Linked DNA regions of Arabidopsis thaliana. The protein of the gene in region 1 interacts with the protein of each later gene in a biochemical or structural test. Each region holds a gene or a part of one and is shown on either strand. Other genes may lie near its edges.

Region 1 (5,861 bases):
ACATTAAAAGTTAAATAAATGAAAGAGAAGTAATAATTAATAAAAAAGGCCAAAGAAACAAAGTACACTGGCTAAACAGTAAGAAATCCAACGTGGACTGGGGTTTCAGACAACAACAGGCTCTGCTTAAAAAAGCTTTTCGTCCTCTGACGGCTTAACTTCACTTTTCCCCAAACACAAAAATCCAATAAATAATATCAACGGCTACTTTCATCTCCCTATGAAGACCAACACGTGTCACACACCCACTTGTCCTAACGTATTTGGCGGGAACTAAAACAGAACAACGACAATGTTGAAAACCCCACACATGTACTATTAAGTATTAACCCCACTGACCAAATCACGGAACATTGTCTACTAAAGCTCGGTAGATAGTTTACGCAATGCTTACCATAACGGCGCCATAGGGTCTAAACCTCAACGTCAACACACTATTTTAGTCTACATGACTAATAATAATATGCTGGACCCGACAAATATATATTCGTTATAATATGATTTTTTGTTGAACGAGAATCCCGGAAAAAATTGTTCTAAAACCCAAGATAACAAGTTAACAACAACACATTGAAGTGATTGTTCATTCCACCGTGGGAAATTCAATAAATTTGGCAACTTAAAATTTGATTGTCGTACCCGTGACAAGATACAACACAATGAAAGTCAACATAAATTATCCACAAAGGAAAAAAAATAAAGGAAAAAGAAATAAAATGATTGTAATAAGAAAACAGCAATTTCAAGAAACGGCGGTTGCGGCGGGAGAAGTAGGTGAAGTAGGATCGGCGGACAAGGAAATCGCCGGACCGACTCTACACCCTTCGAGCATGAAAACAACATCAGCCATAGACGGACGATCAACGACGTCTCCTCCAGTACACAACAACCCAACTTTGATCCCTAACAAGAACTCTTCCCACTCCGAACTTTCCGGGTCAAGCTCCAACAAACCCGGTTCAAGCAACTCAACGATCTGACCTTTTTGTAACTGTCTCTTCACCCATTTCACTATATCTTCATCCTCTGTAAACATCACTGCCTTTTTCCCCGTTAAGATCTCTAACAACACGATCCCGAAGCTGTACACGTCGCTCTCTTTACTTGTTTCACCCGTTAAACCCGCTTCCGGTGCAATGTAGCCTAAAGACCCGACGGGAGTGGATGAAGTGGATGGTTCTTCAGCTGGAGTCAACGCTGTCAATCTATCTAACCCGAATTCTGACAAATGCGCTTCAAAGTCAGCGTCGAAGAGTACGTTTTGCGGTTTAAGATCGCCGTGAATGATTGATAAAGAATGCAAGAAGGACAGTCCTCTAGCGATTCCAAGAGCAATGAGATGACGCATTGGCCAGTTCAAGACATGTCCGTCTTGGTGAGAGGCTTCTTGCAAAAGCGTAGCGAGGTTTCCGTTGGGCATGTAGTCGTAAACAAGAAGTCTTAGATCAGGTGGTCCGCAGTAATAACCTCTCAAGACCGTGATGTTCTTGTGCTTCACTCTACCTAAAGCCTCAGCTTGGTTACGGAACGTTGCATCGGTTATCGAAGCACCATCCATTAGTCTACGAACCGATAGAACCATCCCATCTCTAAACGTCGCCTTGAAGACCAACCCATACCTTCCTCTGCTCAATACGTTCTCTTCGTCAAATTGTCTTGTGGCTTCTAAGGTTTCAGCTAACGTGATCTTGTTGTTGAACATCACAAGTTTAGGTCCACCATTGTTGTCTTCTCCTCTTGTCCCACCAGAACTCGCTCTAGATGTACGTGAGGGGGTCCCTTTCTTGTCCCGACTCAAGCCCAATCTTAGTTTGTTCCGCCATTTCCATAAACTGAACACATAACCACAACAACAGAGTAACAGCAACAAAGCTCCAGCCACTGCTAGTGTCACTAGTAGAATTAGCTTTCTTCTTCTTCTCCTTCGAACGTTTGGACATTCTATACCAAGCGGTTTACCGCAGAGTCCCGGGTTCTTGACAAAGACGGTCGGGTTAGTGAAACGCGCAGCTAGAGCTTCTGGAATCTCCCCTTCCAAACTGTTTCTTGATAAGTTGAAATAGTTCAAGAAACGAAGCCGAGAGAGACTTGATGGTATAGTGGAATTCAATCTGTTCGACGAAAGATCCAACGCGGTTAGATTCGTCAATCTTGATAAAGATTCCGGTATTCGACCCGATAGAGAATTCGAATTAAGCAGGAGAGATTCTAGAGAAGAATCCTTAGAAATCTGATCCGGAATACTCCCTGTTAAACTGTTGTGACTCAAATCAAGCTTCTTCAAAAGAGACAACTTGGAAACGTAAACCGGAATGTGACCCTTTAAACTATTAGAACCAAGCTCAAGAACCTCAAGACTGGAACAATTCCCAATCTCCGGCGGGATTGTACCGGATATTCGATTGTGAGACAACGAAAGCACTTGTAATGACTTGAGAAATCCATAGTTCTTTGGGATATGTCCGGAGAATAAGTTGGAACTGAGATTTAAGTACTTAAGACTAACCAAGCTGCTGAAACCTTCCGGTACGACGCCGCCGAGCAAGTTGTTTCCAAGAGCAACCACTTGAAGATCCGGTAAACCAAATAGTTCGACTGGTAACTGACCAGAGATTCTCTGTTTACTTATATCCAAAACCTGAAGCTTCATTAATCCGCTAATGCTAACCGGTATCCGACCCGTTAACCCGCATCCACTTATGTTGAGAACACTCAAGCTTTTCAGATCACCCACATTGGACGGAACTTCGCCGGAGAATCTGTTGAAACTGAGATTAAGGATGGTAAGATTAGCTAGCTTTGTTATCTCCGACGGTATTGCTCCGGTGAGATGATTTTCATTGAGATTCAATGTCTCGAGTCCGTACAAGCTGAGAAGATCCGATGGAATCCGACCCGAGAACCCGTTTCTTCCAAGAGATATCGTTGTCAGGCTCCGTAACTGACTTAGAAAACCCGGAATCTGACCCGAGAACTTGTTTCCTTCGAAATCAACGACTCTTAACGATTTGCAATTACGGATACTCGTCGGAATTTCTCCAACAAGTGAATTGTTAGCTACTCTCAGCTCCTGAAGCGCCATCAAGTTCCCAACTTTAGCCGTAACACCACCGGAGAAACCGTTTCCAGAAATATCCAAAACCACTAAAGAGGTCAAATCAGTCAACCACGCGGGAAAATCGCCATTAATGCGATTCTCGTGAATGTCGAGAATCTCCAAATTAGGGTTCACGCAAGCTGCATTTGACGGCTTAGCTATTCCCGTGAAGTTATTAACTCCTAATTGAATGATTCGCATGGAGGAATTGTAACCTGAATAACCACATAGAAGACTAACCGGAACTGTACCGGTAAATGAATTCTCCGATAATGAAATCACCTGCAGGCTTCGAATCGTGCCTAAAGTAACCGGAATTAAACCGGTGAGGTGATTACCGGTTACGCTGAAGTGTATAAGCGATGAACAGTTGGCTAATGCGGATGGTATTGTGCCTTGTAATTGGTTTGAGTCTAGCCAGAGATACTCGAGGTCTTGTAGTTGTCCCAATGTAGCCGGGATCTCACCGGAGAAGTGGTTGAACGAGAGGTTGATGAGCTGGAGAGATGAATCCGCTGAGAAATTCGCCGGAATCTTACCGGATATTGCATTGGAAGACAAATCGACGTAACGAAGGCTCTTCGAGACTGTGACGTCGGATAGATTTCCGGTGAGTGAGTTGTGAGCAGCGTTGAGGACCTGGAGGTTTCGTAGATTCAGTATCTCCGGTGGAAAATCGCCGGAGAAGGAGTTGTAGTGAAGATAAAGAGCTCTAAGGAAGACACAACGAGAGAGAGACGAAGGAACGGCGCCGTTTATGTCGTTGGTGTGAAGACTTAGTTTACGGAGCTGAGTCAACTCACCGAGTCGAGGACTGAGGTGGCCGGTGAGGTGGAGACGAGGAAGACGAAGCTCACGGACACGGCCGGAGAAGCAAGAAACGCCGTGCCAGTCGCATGGAGCTGATGGAGATGATTGATTCCAGGACTCGAGAGCTCCTAGAGGGTCGTGGAGAGAGAGTTTGAAAGATGTGAGTGCTTGAGTCTCTGATGAGATGGCGGAGGTGTGGTGGAATCTGGAGAAGAAGATTGCGGCGAAGTGAAGGAAGAAAATGACCGTTGCGGCCATTAGAGTGGAGAAAGGAAAGATTTTTATTTGCAGAGAAGAATTAGTGTTTCGTCTATAATATAAGAGAGGAGCGTAAAGGAGGGAGAGTGTAACGACATCGTTTTGGATTCCACTATATGGAACTCTTGGGATGGTGTGAATTTTTGTTGTTCCCCAAAAGTAAATTATATAAAGATGTATTTGATTATTAAAAAATGGTTACCTAGTGCTTATATCTACAAGATGTAGATTAAATTCATTGATCATGTCTCACCAAGCAACGTAAATATCATCAAAACACTATGAGAAAATATCTTACATGCAATATGGTTTTGTGTATGTAAGTATACATGTGCGTGTATGACAGTATCTGCATTATGTTCGTAGCTACCAATCTTGTGACAAATGTTACGACCAACTCTGCATCTCTCATGGCTGGTAAATCAGAAACTACCAAATCGTACATATTTCTCACTAAAAGGATATTCATAGCATCTCATATATGGTTAGATTATGAATTATTATGATTTTCAATATTCAAAGCTTACTCTTTCTAAAAATCGAAATCCACTAATCAAAATGTTTTTCATTCTATGTTAAGGTTCCTGGTTATTAGTTAAGGTTCCTGGTTCACCCATAGTTCATGCAAAGCAAAAGGGGAATTTATAATTTTATAACAAAATTGTTTTATTTACAGTACTATTAGTCACTATGAGACATATGGATAATGTAGACAAATAGATTATAAGAAAAATGTATAACAAAGACTTATTATACCACTAATCTCACAAAGAAAGATTAAACAAAAGGATATTTTAATCCAAGAATCATAATTTCTGCCGGAATAGATGGACCACAAGAACTAGACATAAAGCCGAAAGAGACTAGTTTAATCAAGTACAACAAGTCCTTCGTGTTCTCTTTTCTTTGATTCAAATCTTGTTAAGTGTCATATAATTTGAGCTAAGAAATCGAACACAAATCCGTTGTAGTCTAGCTGGTCAGGATACTCGGCTCTCACCCGAGAGACCCGGGTTCGAGTCCCGGCAACGGAGTTTCTTTTTATTTTATTTTTTGATAAATGGGCTTCCGACAAAGCCCATATTTTGGTTTGTCTTAAGCCCGATTACTGTTTCATTAATCCGATTTTTGCTTTCTCATCCATTAGGAAAAAACCCAATAAATGTGCACTTCGTGACCTTAACCGCCGTCGGCAAACACCGTTGGTTTTTTACTTTCTTGTTCCTTTGTGTCGCCGGAGATATATATCTTCGACATCGGTGAAGAATGGGTGTACCGTCGTTTTACCGATGGTTGGCCGAGAAGTATCCTCTTTTAGTGGCGGATGTTATCGAGGAAGAGCCTGTTGAAATCGAAGGCATCAAGATTCCTGTGGATACTAGTAAACCTAACCCTAACAACCTCGAATACGATAATCTTTATCTCGACATGAACGGGATTATCCATCCTTGCTTTCACCCCGAAGATAGGGTAGCGTTTCCTTTCGATTTTTGGATTCATTCACTGTTGAATGTTTTATTTGAGACATTAGGGTTTTCAAATTTGGTTCATCCTTATTTAAAAATTGGTTCTTTGTTGTAAAAATTTGATCTTTGTGTGAGTATGCACGTGTAGAATGTTTCTGTTAGCTCTTTCTTTACTTGACGACTATGTTTGTTGTTGCAGCCATCTCCAACTACCTTTGAGGAGGTGTTTC
Region 2 (5,706 bases), on another chromosome or scaffold:
AGTTAATTGGGATGCGATTCTTGTTATCTAAGTTAGAATCGTGGATGCGATGATGAAGTTTGTATTTTCTATTGATATTGTTTTACCCAAACCCAAGAGTCGAGAATGAATTTTTATGTCGTTGCTATTTATTCTGAACTTATGTCGTAAATGTTGGGATCAATAATTTAAGGTGACCGAGTCGTGACCCACATGAGTGTCGAGTGATTATTACAGCTTCGGTGAAAACGAGTGAAAAGTGAAAACGCAAACATTATTTTTAGGATCTTCTCTTTTGCTCACGAAGAATTGTAGTACTATTAGATAATCTCATAATCCTGAATGAGTGTTTTTAGTGGGATCACAATCCGAAATGACTATTTAAGCGTTAAGATTCAAAACAACTTCACATATATATAACCTTCAATGACTTCAATTTAATATATAGTTTGAAATTTAGTGTGAAAATCAAAATAATCGAACCTCGTTAATATTTTTAGTTTCATTCATGTTAAGTAATTCAAGCCAATTTTCCTTTTATAGTTTCTCTGCATGCAAATTTATATTTAAAGTGCGTGCATGTTGCATCACTTCAGTAATATGGTAGAATGCAAATTCGTTAACCGTCTCTATAGTTCATGACTTCATGATAGCATAAGAGATAAAATGAATTCAGGGATTTATGTGTAATCATTAAGGAATGAGAAAGTCACATAAAGCATGTAAAATAATTTTTGGGTCGTTATTTTTTTTTACTACGATGAATCTCTGCTCTCTTTTATATATTTTAGTCATGACTGAATAATGACAGGCAATTTTAATAATTTAAGATAAGTATGCGGTATGCCATGATCGGTAGACGGTAGCTCAATACAATTCCGACACAGAAACTAGTTTTTTTTTGGGTATTTGATAATGGGCCTTTTAGCAATTTTCTAAAGCCCAAATTTATTATTCTTGCTTCACGCAATATTGTTTAAAGCCCAATTTAGAGAACATGATTTCCATTCCGAATTCGTCGCCCAGTCACTTATTAGATTAATAGATTGCATTGCATTGCTTGTGCTTTCAATTTACAAATTGTCTCCCAACTCCATCGACACATCTCTTTTTGTGTATATAAGATTCAGACTTGTTATATTTTTTTTATAAATATGTTATTAGCATCTTAAGTTAAATTGATTTTTTATATCTGCATTAAGGATTACACGACTATATTTGCGATTGTGTGTTGGTTAAAATATAATTTAGGATTGTCTTTAACTACATTTAGGATTATATGACTATATTTGGTTAAATATAAAATCTAGCTGTGATTATTAGTATTCAAAAATAAGTAGCCTAACCAATTAAAACAACGGCTATTGGGGCAAATTAGAACATTTTAGTGTGTCCAAAATATAATGGTCATTAGGTCATATTCCTCCTAGCTTCATCGCAGCATAATTGAATGATTGCCTTATTTAGAAGAGCTTTTCCACTTTCCCAAAATCTATGTGGGATCTTTTTGTTTTGACCTTCATTTTTCTTGTTTACCATTTTTAGCTAAATTATTTACGATTACAAAAGATATCAAAAGTTGGATCATAATACAATTTATAGACTTACTGTAGAAAATTCGTATGTACAAGTACAACAAATTCTTCATAATAAATTTTGAAAATTCTATTACAAATGTTGTAAGAAATAGAATTTGAAATATATATAAACTAAGGAGAAAAAAAAAGAGAACATGCATTGCTCTAGTCAGAGTGGACCAACATCAACGAGATAAGATAACATAAAAACCAACTCACCATAACTAAAAACATCCCAAGAGATCCAACGATTCATATCAAACACAAAAACATCGAACGATCAGATTTAAACCATCTCTGGTATCTCCAAAACACAAACACTTTTTTTTTTCTTTTGTCTGAATGGAACAAAAGCATGCGACATCTCTGTGTCTTTATCTTCTCTCTCCTCTTCTTGAAAAACTGAACCTTTAATTCTTTCTTCACATCTCCTTTAGCTTTCTGAAGCTGCTATCTTCAAGCTCAAAACCAAACCCTAGAAATAAAATGACGGCGACACAAATGCTGCTTCATCTTCTTCTTCTTCCACTTCTCTTCCTTCACTTCAGCAACCAAGTCATGGCAGAAATCACCGACGAGTTAGCGACATTGATGGAGGTTAAAACAGAGCTTGACCCAGAAGACAAACACTTAGCTTCATGGAGTGTTAATGGAGATCTGTGTAAAGACTTTGAAGGTGTTGGTTGTGACTGGAAAGGACGAGTTTCTAACATATCTCTACAAGGGAAAGGCTTATCTGGTAAAATCTCTCCGAACATTGGAAAGCTTAAACATTTGACGGGTTTGTTCTTGCACTACAATGCTCTTGTTGGAGATATTCCTAGAGAACTTGGTAACTTGTCGGAACTTACGGATCTTTATCTCAATGTTAATAATCTCTCCGGTGAGATTCCTTCAAACATTGGGAAGATGCAAGGCTTGCAAGGTTAGTTCTTTTTTACTTTAATTTTAATCTTAATCATTGATTAAACTTAAAACCTAAATTTAGCATTGTTAGATCTTTGGTTTCTGCAAAATTCTTGTCCCAAGATTAATCAATGTTCTGTGGAGATTTGAAACCTAGAAATCTGAGCTCCTTGTCTTAGGGGTTTTAGTTACTTCATTACTATCTCTGGTAGTTGAAATTATTTGAATTAGATGATTTTGGAATTTAATGCTTTAATGATCTGTCTTTAAAACGTCCTTTTCATGTCTTTTTGTTAGGATTTTTCTTTTTGTAATTTTCCTGTAAGGAAGAATAGTCAAGAACTTTTTAAGATTCAAACTTTTAATTGGAACCATAAATGGCTTACTGGTCCCAAAATATGGACTTGAATTGAAGATAACTTGTACTTCTCTTGATTAATTTTGTTTATTTAGATAATTGATTCACTTACTTTCAAAAGGCTTTATATTTGAGCTTTAATTAGCAGGACCAGGTTTCTAAATCTAGAATTAGTTCTAAGTTAATGTAAGTCAAAGCTAAGCTTCATTCCTTTTTTGGTCTATGTTGTTGTGTAGTTTTGCAGCTCTGTTACAACAATTTGACTGGAAGCATTCCTAGGGAGCTTAGTTCACTGAGGAAGCTGAGTGTTCTTGCTCTTCAATCTAACAAACTCACTGGAGCTATACCTGCGAGTTTAGGAGATTTAAGTGCTCTAGAGCGGCTAGATTTGAGCTACAATCATTTGTTTGGTTCTGTACCAGGCAAGTTAGCTAGCCCTCCTCTGCTTCGAGTTCTCGACATCCGCAACAACTCCCTCACTGGCAATGTACCTCCTGGTTAGAAAACTGATTCACTATATGATCTTTGAAACTAACTTTGCGTATTTTGTGAAGTGTTTCTCATTTTGGTTTATATTTCTTTCTCTGTTGTACCGATTTGACAGTACTGAAGAGATTAAATGAAGGTTTTTCGTTTGAAAACAACTTGGGACTATGTGGAGCTGAGTTCTCGCCGTTGAAATCTTGCAATGGCACAGCTCCTGAGGAACCTAAGCCATACGGTGCAACCGTGTTTGGTTTTCCATCCCGGGATATACCAGAATCAGCTAATCTACGGTCACCTTGTAATGGAACAAACTGTAATACTCCTCCAAAATCTCACCAAGGTGCAATCCTTATTGGTTTGGTTGTCTCGACTATTGCATTGTCTGCTATTAGCATCCTCTTGTTCACGCATTATCGCAGACGCAAACAGAAGCTTTCAACCACTTATGAAATGTCGGACAACCGTCTCAACACCGTAGGAGGAGGTTTTAGGAAGAACAATGGTTCTCCATTGGCCAGTCTTGAATATACTAATGGTTGGGATCCACTTTCAGACAATAGGAATCTCAGTGTCTTTGCTCAAGAAGTTATCCAGAGCTTTCGATTCAATCTTGAAGAGGTTGAAACTGCTACACAGTATTTCTCAGAAGTGAATTTGCTTGGAAGAAGCAACTTCTCTGCGACTTACAAAGGAATCTTGAGAGATGGTTCTGCTGTAGCGATCAAACGGTTTAGTAAAACAAGTTGCAAATCTGAAGAACCTGAGTTCTTGAAAGGACTCAACATGTTGGCGTCTCTGAAACATGAAAACTTGTCAAAACTTAGAGGCTTCTGCTGTTCAAGAGGCCGTGGAGAATGTTTTCTCATCTATGATTTTGCTCCTAATGGAAATTTACTGAGCTATCTTGATCTCAAAGATGGTGATGCGCATGTTCTTGATTGGTCCACGAGAGTATCCATTGCTAAAGGCATCGCAAAAGGTATGAGTTTTATTTATGCCGAACCAATTTTGTTAGCGTTCTTGATTCATTTTTGTTTATGTGTTTGATGTTTTGTGTTTAGGGATTGCTTATCTACATTCATACAAAGGAAGCAAGCCAGCATTGGTTCACCAAAACATCTCAGCGGAGAAAGTTCTAATCGACCAGCGATACAGTCCTCTACTCTCAAACTCAGGCCTCCACACACTTCTCACAAACGACATTGTCTTCTCTGCACTCAAAGACAGTGCAGCAATGGGCTACCTCGCTCCAGAATACACCACAACCGGACGTTTCACCGAGAAAACCGATGTCTACGCTTTCGGGATTCTTGTGTTTCAGATAATCTCCGGGAAACAGAAGGTTAGGCATCTTGTTAAGCTTGGAACTGAAGCTTGTAGGTTCAATGATTACATAGATCCAAATCTTCAAGGAAGATTCTTTGAATATGAAGCCACAAAGCTAGCTAGAATCGCGTGGCTATGCACTCATGAATCTCCCATTGAAAGACCATCCGTGGAAGCTGTAGTTCATGAGCTAGGTAACTGTAGTAGCTGTCTCTGAGAACTCTCTCGAGGCAAATGTGTAATGTGTACCTTAGGAATCAATTAAGGAAGGGTTTGTTAGTCACCTTTTCCTGTGTTTAGGGTTAAGAAAAAGGTGCCTTTTCCCTTCCCATTAACGTTTAAAAACTGTTCAACGTGTTGTACTTTATTGGTTTGTATGATTTGTGTTTATGTTAAGCTCTTCAACCTTAGAAGAAGACAAGACAAGTACATTACTTTTAAAAAATTTCGGTAGATGGAAAATATTTATGGTACTTTGTCTTCTTTTTTTTTTATAACTTTCTGAACCAATTTATTGTCAATAATTCAATATAGAAAAAAAATAACGTATAACATTTTTTTTTCTGATATTGATCAAATCAATATCAAAAGAATTGATTTGTTAGATGGTTTTGATTTAGATTTGGATATGAGCTTTAACTTTTAAGTCTTTATTAGTCATCTAGATCTAGATACAAATTTATAAATATAAAGTCAAAGGTTAACTATTAGCATTGGCCACCAGATTCGAATAATTTACATGATTTTTCTAGACTTCAGGATTAGATTTTGGACCTAGTAAATTTTTAGAATTACTTGAGTTATTTGAAAGAAATAAATTAAATTATTAGTTGTCCACAAAAGACAGAAAAAAATATCAAATTATACTTTTCATTGGTCAAAAAAGGATTATACCAAATATCTAAGGAAGGAAGATATTGTTGATATAGCTAATTAATCAGTAACTAATCCTAACCGTCCATTTCTCCTCAAACCGCTTGATCTAACGGTAGCAAAAGGCTTCGATCACATAACACCATTTGTTTCCATAGAAACGAACGAGTCGTGGAGATTTATAAGCGAGACTTCTTCTTC
Region 3 (4,968 bases), on another chromosome or scaffold:
CATTCATACATGTAACTATGTAAGTAAGCATGCATACTAAATATAAAATTTTCAAAAGTTTTAAAAGACATCATATAGATTCAAAAAGACGTGGGAAAAAGGAGAAAATGACAAAAGTTATTAGTAAAACAATCAAGTAAAAGGTCAAAGTAGTTAACGAAAAGATAAAAGTATTTCAAAAGTCTTCCTTCCATCTTGAAATGCCAAAAAATAAAAGACGAATGATTGAAGATAAATCAAAGTTGTCTGATTGCTATTGTATACATCTTTTTTTTTGTTAAAACTATTGTATACATCTAAAAAACCTTGAAGTAATCAAGATCTGAATTATAGCCGTTGATAAGGTTTTATGCTTTCACATTGAACTCGATCGTCGTCGTCAAATCTACTAGTCTCGTTTTTTAGTTTTAACGTGCTTAATTACTTCACTAATTTGTTTTTTGTTATCATTTTCACCAATTTTATTCATTGTGTGAATTAAGTTTTGTCCACATAGTAAGATTCATCAGTATAATAGGACATATGATAAAAGTTTGTATATAATCAAAGAGTATATCTAAGAATATCTAATTAAGATGAATGTTTCAGTCCACATTGGATTCTGCTTATAGTCAAACTGTCTTGTTCTTAAACCCAATTAGGTTAGAATACATGTACCAACAAATAGCATTTCTATAACTAATCTTTTATCAATTTACTTTATAGCCTACAAATAATTAGAGGAAAAGAAAAGAGAGTTAGTGGAATAATTGTCCTCTAAATCTCGATATCATCATTAACTAAATACTATATTTAGACCATATATACTATATTTTATAGTATACTATATTTTATAGTATATATAATCAACTAATCATATTAGACCACTATTAGAAATATGGATCTAAAAAAAACATTCTTTAATCAGTACTATTCTCATCCAAAGACTTGTTTTAAGAGACTAAATATGAATATGTGTATGTGTATGTGTATGCAGGAGTAGACACGTGCACGTGGCACATGCAGGGAATGGGAAGGTGGAGTGTTGACAAAGAAGAAGAGGATGATCCAAGTTTCGAAATGATTCCAAAAGTTATGAACTATAAGCCAAAGTGCTCAATCGCCAAACATGAACTTAAATAAACTTCACTCGTTAGATCGTTTTCTCACATTAAAGCCGCTCTACACTTTTACCCATTTTACCATTTATAATAACCACCACACATAGATATTAAGTTCTATGGATTTTATTCGTAAACTTAAGTTATGATCAAATAGCTAAATGATTTTGCGATTTGCCCGAGTTCTGTTTGTTTCTAAAATGGTTATCCAAAAAGCATATTTTTGTTTTATATAGAATTTGTGATATAGAAGAAATATACTAAAAATGTTTTAAAGTCTGTCTAAATCATAAACCAATGCAAAGAAAGTGAAATAAACCAAGATCTCGAGCAATAGACATAATAAATAAACAAACACCTAATAACATCACATCCCCACTAACAAATGTGAACATTAACTGTTAAAAATCACCAAAAAAGTCATCAAGATTTGGCTTTCCTTTTCAAAAGCAGTATACGTCTCTGTCTCACACAGACAGTGTATTCAATGCGTTGTGTTGTCTTCCCACTTTTCACCAGCTGAGGTTCTGCTTCTTTCTCTTCTTCTCTCCAAAACAAGAAAATTCTGCAGAATAACTTTTCATTCACGAGAGTGGAAGGTTACAGTTTTCCAAATCCGAGAAACAGACACAAAATTGGTCCCTCTCTAAAAGTTACTATCTTCGTTTAACAAAGAGATAGCTCCCAATCCAGTACAAAACAGAGTACTCTGCTCTATAAATTTCGTTCCTTTATTACTCTGCTCTATAAAACAGATTATTCTGCTCTATAAGAGAGATAGATAAATGAGCTAAAGCTCAGTAATTTCTAAACAGAGAGACAAGAAAATTCAAGAATGGTTACCTTATGTGCCACGTTACTGATCCTTCTCTCAATCTTTCTTGCAACTCCGTCGAATGTTCGAGGAAATGCAGAGCTGAAGGCTTTAATGGAGCTGAAATCGTCGCTTGACCCTGAAAACAAGCTTCTCCGTTCATGGACGTTTAACGGCGATCCATGCGACGGATCTTTCGAAGGAATTGCATGTAACCAGCATCTAAAAGTCGCAAACATATCATTACAAGGGAAACGTTTGGTCGGAAAATTGTCTCCGGCGGTTGCAGAGCTCAAATGTTTGTCAGGTCTTTACTTACATTACAATAGTCTCTCTGGAGAGATACCTCAAGAGATCACAAATCTTACTGAATTATCAGATCTTTATCTCAATGTTAATAACTTCTCTGGTGAGATTCCGGCAGATATCGGCTCCATGGCTGGCTTGCAAGGTTAGCATCTTATAATGTTTCACAGATCTTTCACTTGAATGTTTACTCGATCTTCCATTTGAATGTTTTGTGGTGTCTTTTGTTGCAGTTATGGATCTTTGTTGCAACAGTTTAACAGGGAAGATACCAAAGAACATTGGATCCTTGAAGAAACTTAATGTGTTGTCTCTGCAACACAACAAACTAACCGGAGAGGTTCCTTGGACTTTAGGAAACTTGAGTATGTTAAGCAGGCTTGATTTAAGCTTCAACAATCTGTTAGGTTTAATCCCAAAAACCCTAGCCAACATTCCTCAGTTGGACACTCTTGACTTGCGCAACAATACTCTCTCTGGCTTTGTTCCTCCTGGTGAGTTAATGATTCTTGAAACGTCTTTGTAAGAGCTTATCTCTCTGTTTCTTGACTCGGTTTTTTCTTCGTTATGTTTCTTCAAAGGTCTTAAGAAGTTGAATGGGAGCTTCCAGTTTGAGAACAACACCGGGTTATGTGGTATCGATTTTCCTTCTTTGAGAGCTTGTTCTGCTTTCGATAATGCGAATAATATCGAACAATTTAAGCAGCCTCCTGGTGAAATAGACACTGATAAATCAGCTCTTCACAACATTCCCGAGTCTGTATATCTCCAAAAGCATTGCAACCAAACACATTGCAAGAAATCCTCATCGAAACTCCCACAAGTTGCTTTGATTTCAAGCGTGATTACCGTCACTATAACATTGATTGGTGCTGGTATATTGACCTTCTTTCGCTACAGAAGAAGGAAGCAAAAGATCAGTAACACACCTGAGTTTTCCGAGGGAAGACTAAGCACAGATCAACAAAAAGAGTTCCGTGCATCGCCTTTAGTGAGTCTTGCCTACACTAAAGAATGGGATCCGCTAGGTGATAGCAGAAACGGAGCTGAGTTTTCACAAGAGCCTCATCTCTTTGTTGTAAATAGTAGCTTCAGGTTTAACTTAGAAGACATTGAATCAGCAACCCAATGCTTCTCAGAAGCTAATCTATTGAGCAGAAACAGCTTCACCTCAGTGTTCAAAGGAGTCCTCAGAGATGGTTCTCCGGTAGCTATCAGAAGCATCAACATAAGCAGTTGCAAGAACGAAGAAGTCGAATTCATGAACGGTTTAAAGCTTTTATCTTCGTTGTCACACGAAAACTTAGTGAAGCTACGTGGATTCTGCTGTTCTAGAGGCAGAGGAGAGTGTTTCCTCATCTATGATTTTGCTTCAAAAGGAAAGCTTTCAAATTTTCTTGACTTACAAGAACGCGAAACTAATCTGGTCCTTGCTTGGTCTGCAAGAATCTCCATCATCAAAGGGATTGCAAAAGGTTAAGTATTTGAAATATCACTTCTTTGAGTTCAAGGAACAAAATGTATTTAATACACAAATTTCTTGCAGGTATTGCTTACTTACATGGAAGTGATCAACAGAAGAAGCCTACAATAGTTCATCGAAACATCTCTGTCGAAAAAATCCTACTTGATGAACAATTTAACCCGTTAATCGCTGATTCGGGTCTTCACAACCTTCTAGCAGACGATATGGTCTTCTCAGCACTCAAAACAAGTGCAGCAATGGGATATTTAGCTCCGGAATACGTCACAACCGGAAAATTCACCGAGAAAACCGATATTTTCGCCTTTGGAGTCATCATTCTCCAGATACTCTCTGGTAAGCTCATGCTTACAAGTTCACTGAGAAATGCAGCTGAAAATGGAGAACATAACGGGTTCATCGATGAAGATCTTCGTGAAGAGTTTGATAAACCAGAGGCGACTGCAATGGCGAGGATTGGGATAAGCTGTACACAGGAGATACCAAACAATAGGCCTAATATAGAGACATTGCTTGAGAATATAAACTGTATGAAGAGTGAATGACTCTGCTTTTTAATTAGTATCTTTGTGCAAGTATGATTCTCCGGTTAGCTGTGTCCCACCAATTGGTTTTGTTTGTTTTAGTTCTCTCCAGTAAGAACCGGGTCCGGTTTATATTTTATTTAGATTTGTAGCTGAGAATTGAAGCTTTAATCAGTTAGCTATATGATTATAAGCAACGAAGAACTGATTAATGTAACAAAAGATACATATATAATAATCATCAAGGAGCAGTGTTTAAAACCCTCAAATCATGTCATCATACAGTTACAGTAATGATGATGCAACCTAAGTAAAGTAATTAGTCTTTGGTTACATTCACTAAAGATTTTCGAAACCATACATATAGGCGGAGATTAGTTTGTACCATGTCCTCTTACATTCATTGCAGCTTTCGGTCTTCGGGATGATTCTGCTCGTGCATGAGAAGGACTTGGATCAGTCGAGGGAAGTAACATTGGTTGCTCTCTGTTCACAAGACCACCTGCAAGAACATCAAAGAGATGATTTATCTTTGTTCACAAAGAAACGTACAACACGAAAACTTGACCGTGTAATAGGACTGCTTACTTCCAAATGAACCAGAGCGACTGGGTAACTGCATTTGCCTTCTAGCATTTCCACTCCAAGACTGTTCAAAACCAGCCAATTCATCTGCAGAATTTTGCAATTGAAAGCAAACGGTATATAAGGATATTTCATCCACAATAGAACATTTATGAA

What was found. Proteins that work in one complex are often made in the same cells at the same time.
Region 2: the proteins of AT1G75640 (region 1) and AT5G51560 form a complex in vitro, tested with the Arabidopsis thaliana proteins (one large-scale study listed by BioGRID).
Region 3: the proteins of AT1G75640 (region 1) and AT4G22730 form a complex in vitro, tested with the Arabidopsis thaliana proteins (one large-scale study listed by BioGRID).

The regions. Positions count from the first base shown.
Region 1 is NC_003070.9:28,402,858-28,408,718, forward strand, and holds AT1G75640 (Leucine-rich receptor-like protein kinase family protein), read right to left. Parts: upstream 4,326-5,861; 5' UTR 4,166-4,325; coding exon 743-4,165; 3' UTR 514-742; downstream 1-513. Other genes in the region: XRN3 (5'-3' exoribonuclease 3), read left to right, coding at 5,432-5,635, 5,831-5,861.
Region 2 is NC_003076.8:20,943,765-20,949,470, forward strand, and holds AT5G51560 (Leucine-rich repeat protein kinase family protein), read left to right. Parts: upstream 1-1,911; 5' UTR 1,912-2,042; coding exon 2,043-2,481; intron 2,482-3,056; coding exon 3,057-3,317; intron 3,318-3,424; coding exon 3,425-4,285; intron 4,286-4,367; coding exon 4,368-4,849; 3' UTR 4,850-5,175; downstream 5,176-5,706.
Region 3 is NC_003075.7:11,939,449-11,944,416, forward strand, and holds AT4G22730 (Leucine-rich repeat protein kinase family protein), read left to right. Parts: upstream 1-1,552; 5' UTR 1,553-1,935; coding exon 1,936-2,365; intron 2,366-2,453; coding exon 2,454-2,714; exon of another isoform or gene 2,715-2,801; coding exon 2,802-3,695; coding exon of another isoform or gene 3,696-3,700; intron 3,701-3,766; coding exon 3,767-4,248; 3' UTR 4,249-4,437; downstream 4,438-4,968. Other genes in the region: AT4G22740 (glycine-rich protein), read right to left, coding at 4,602-4,729, 4,816-4,899.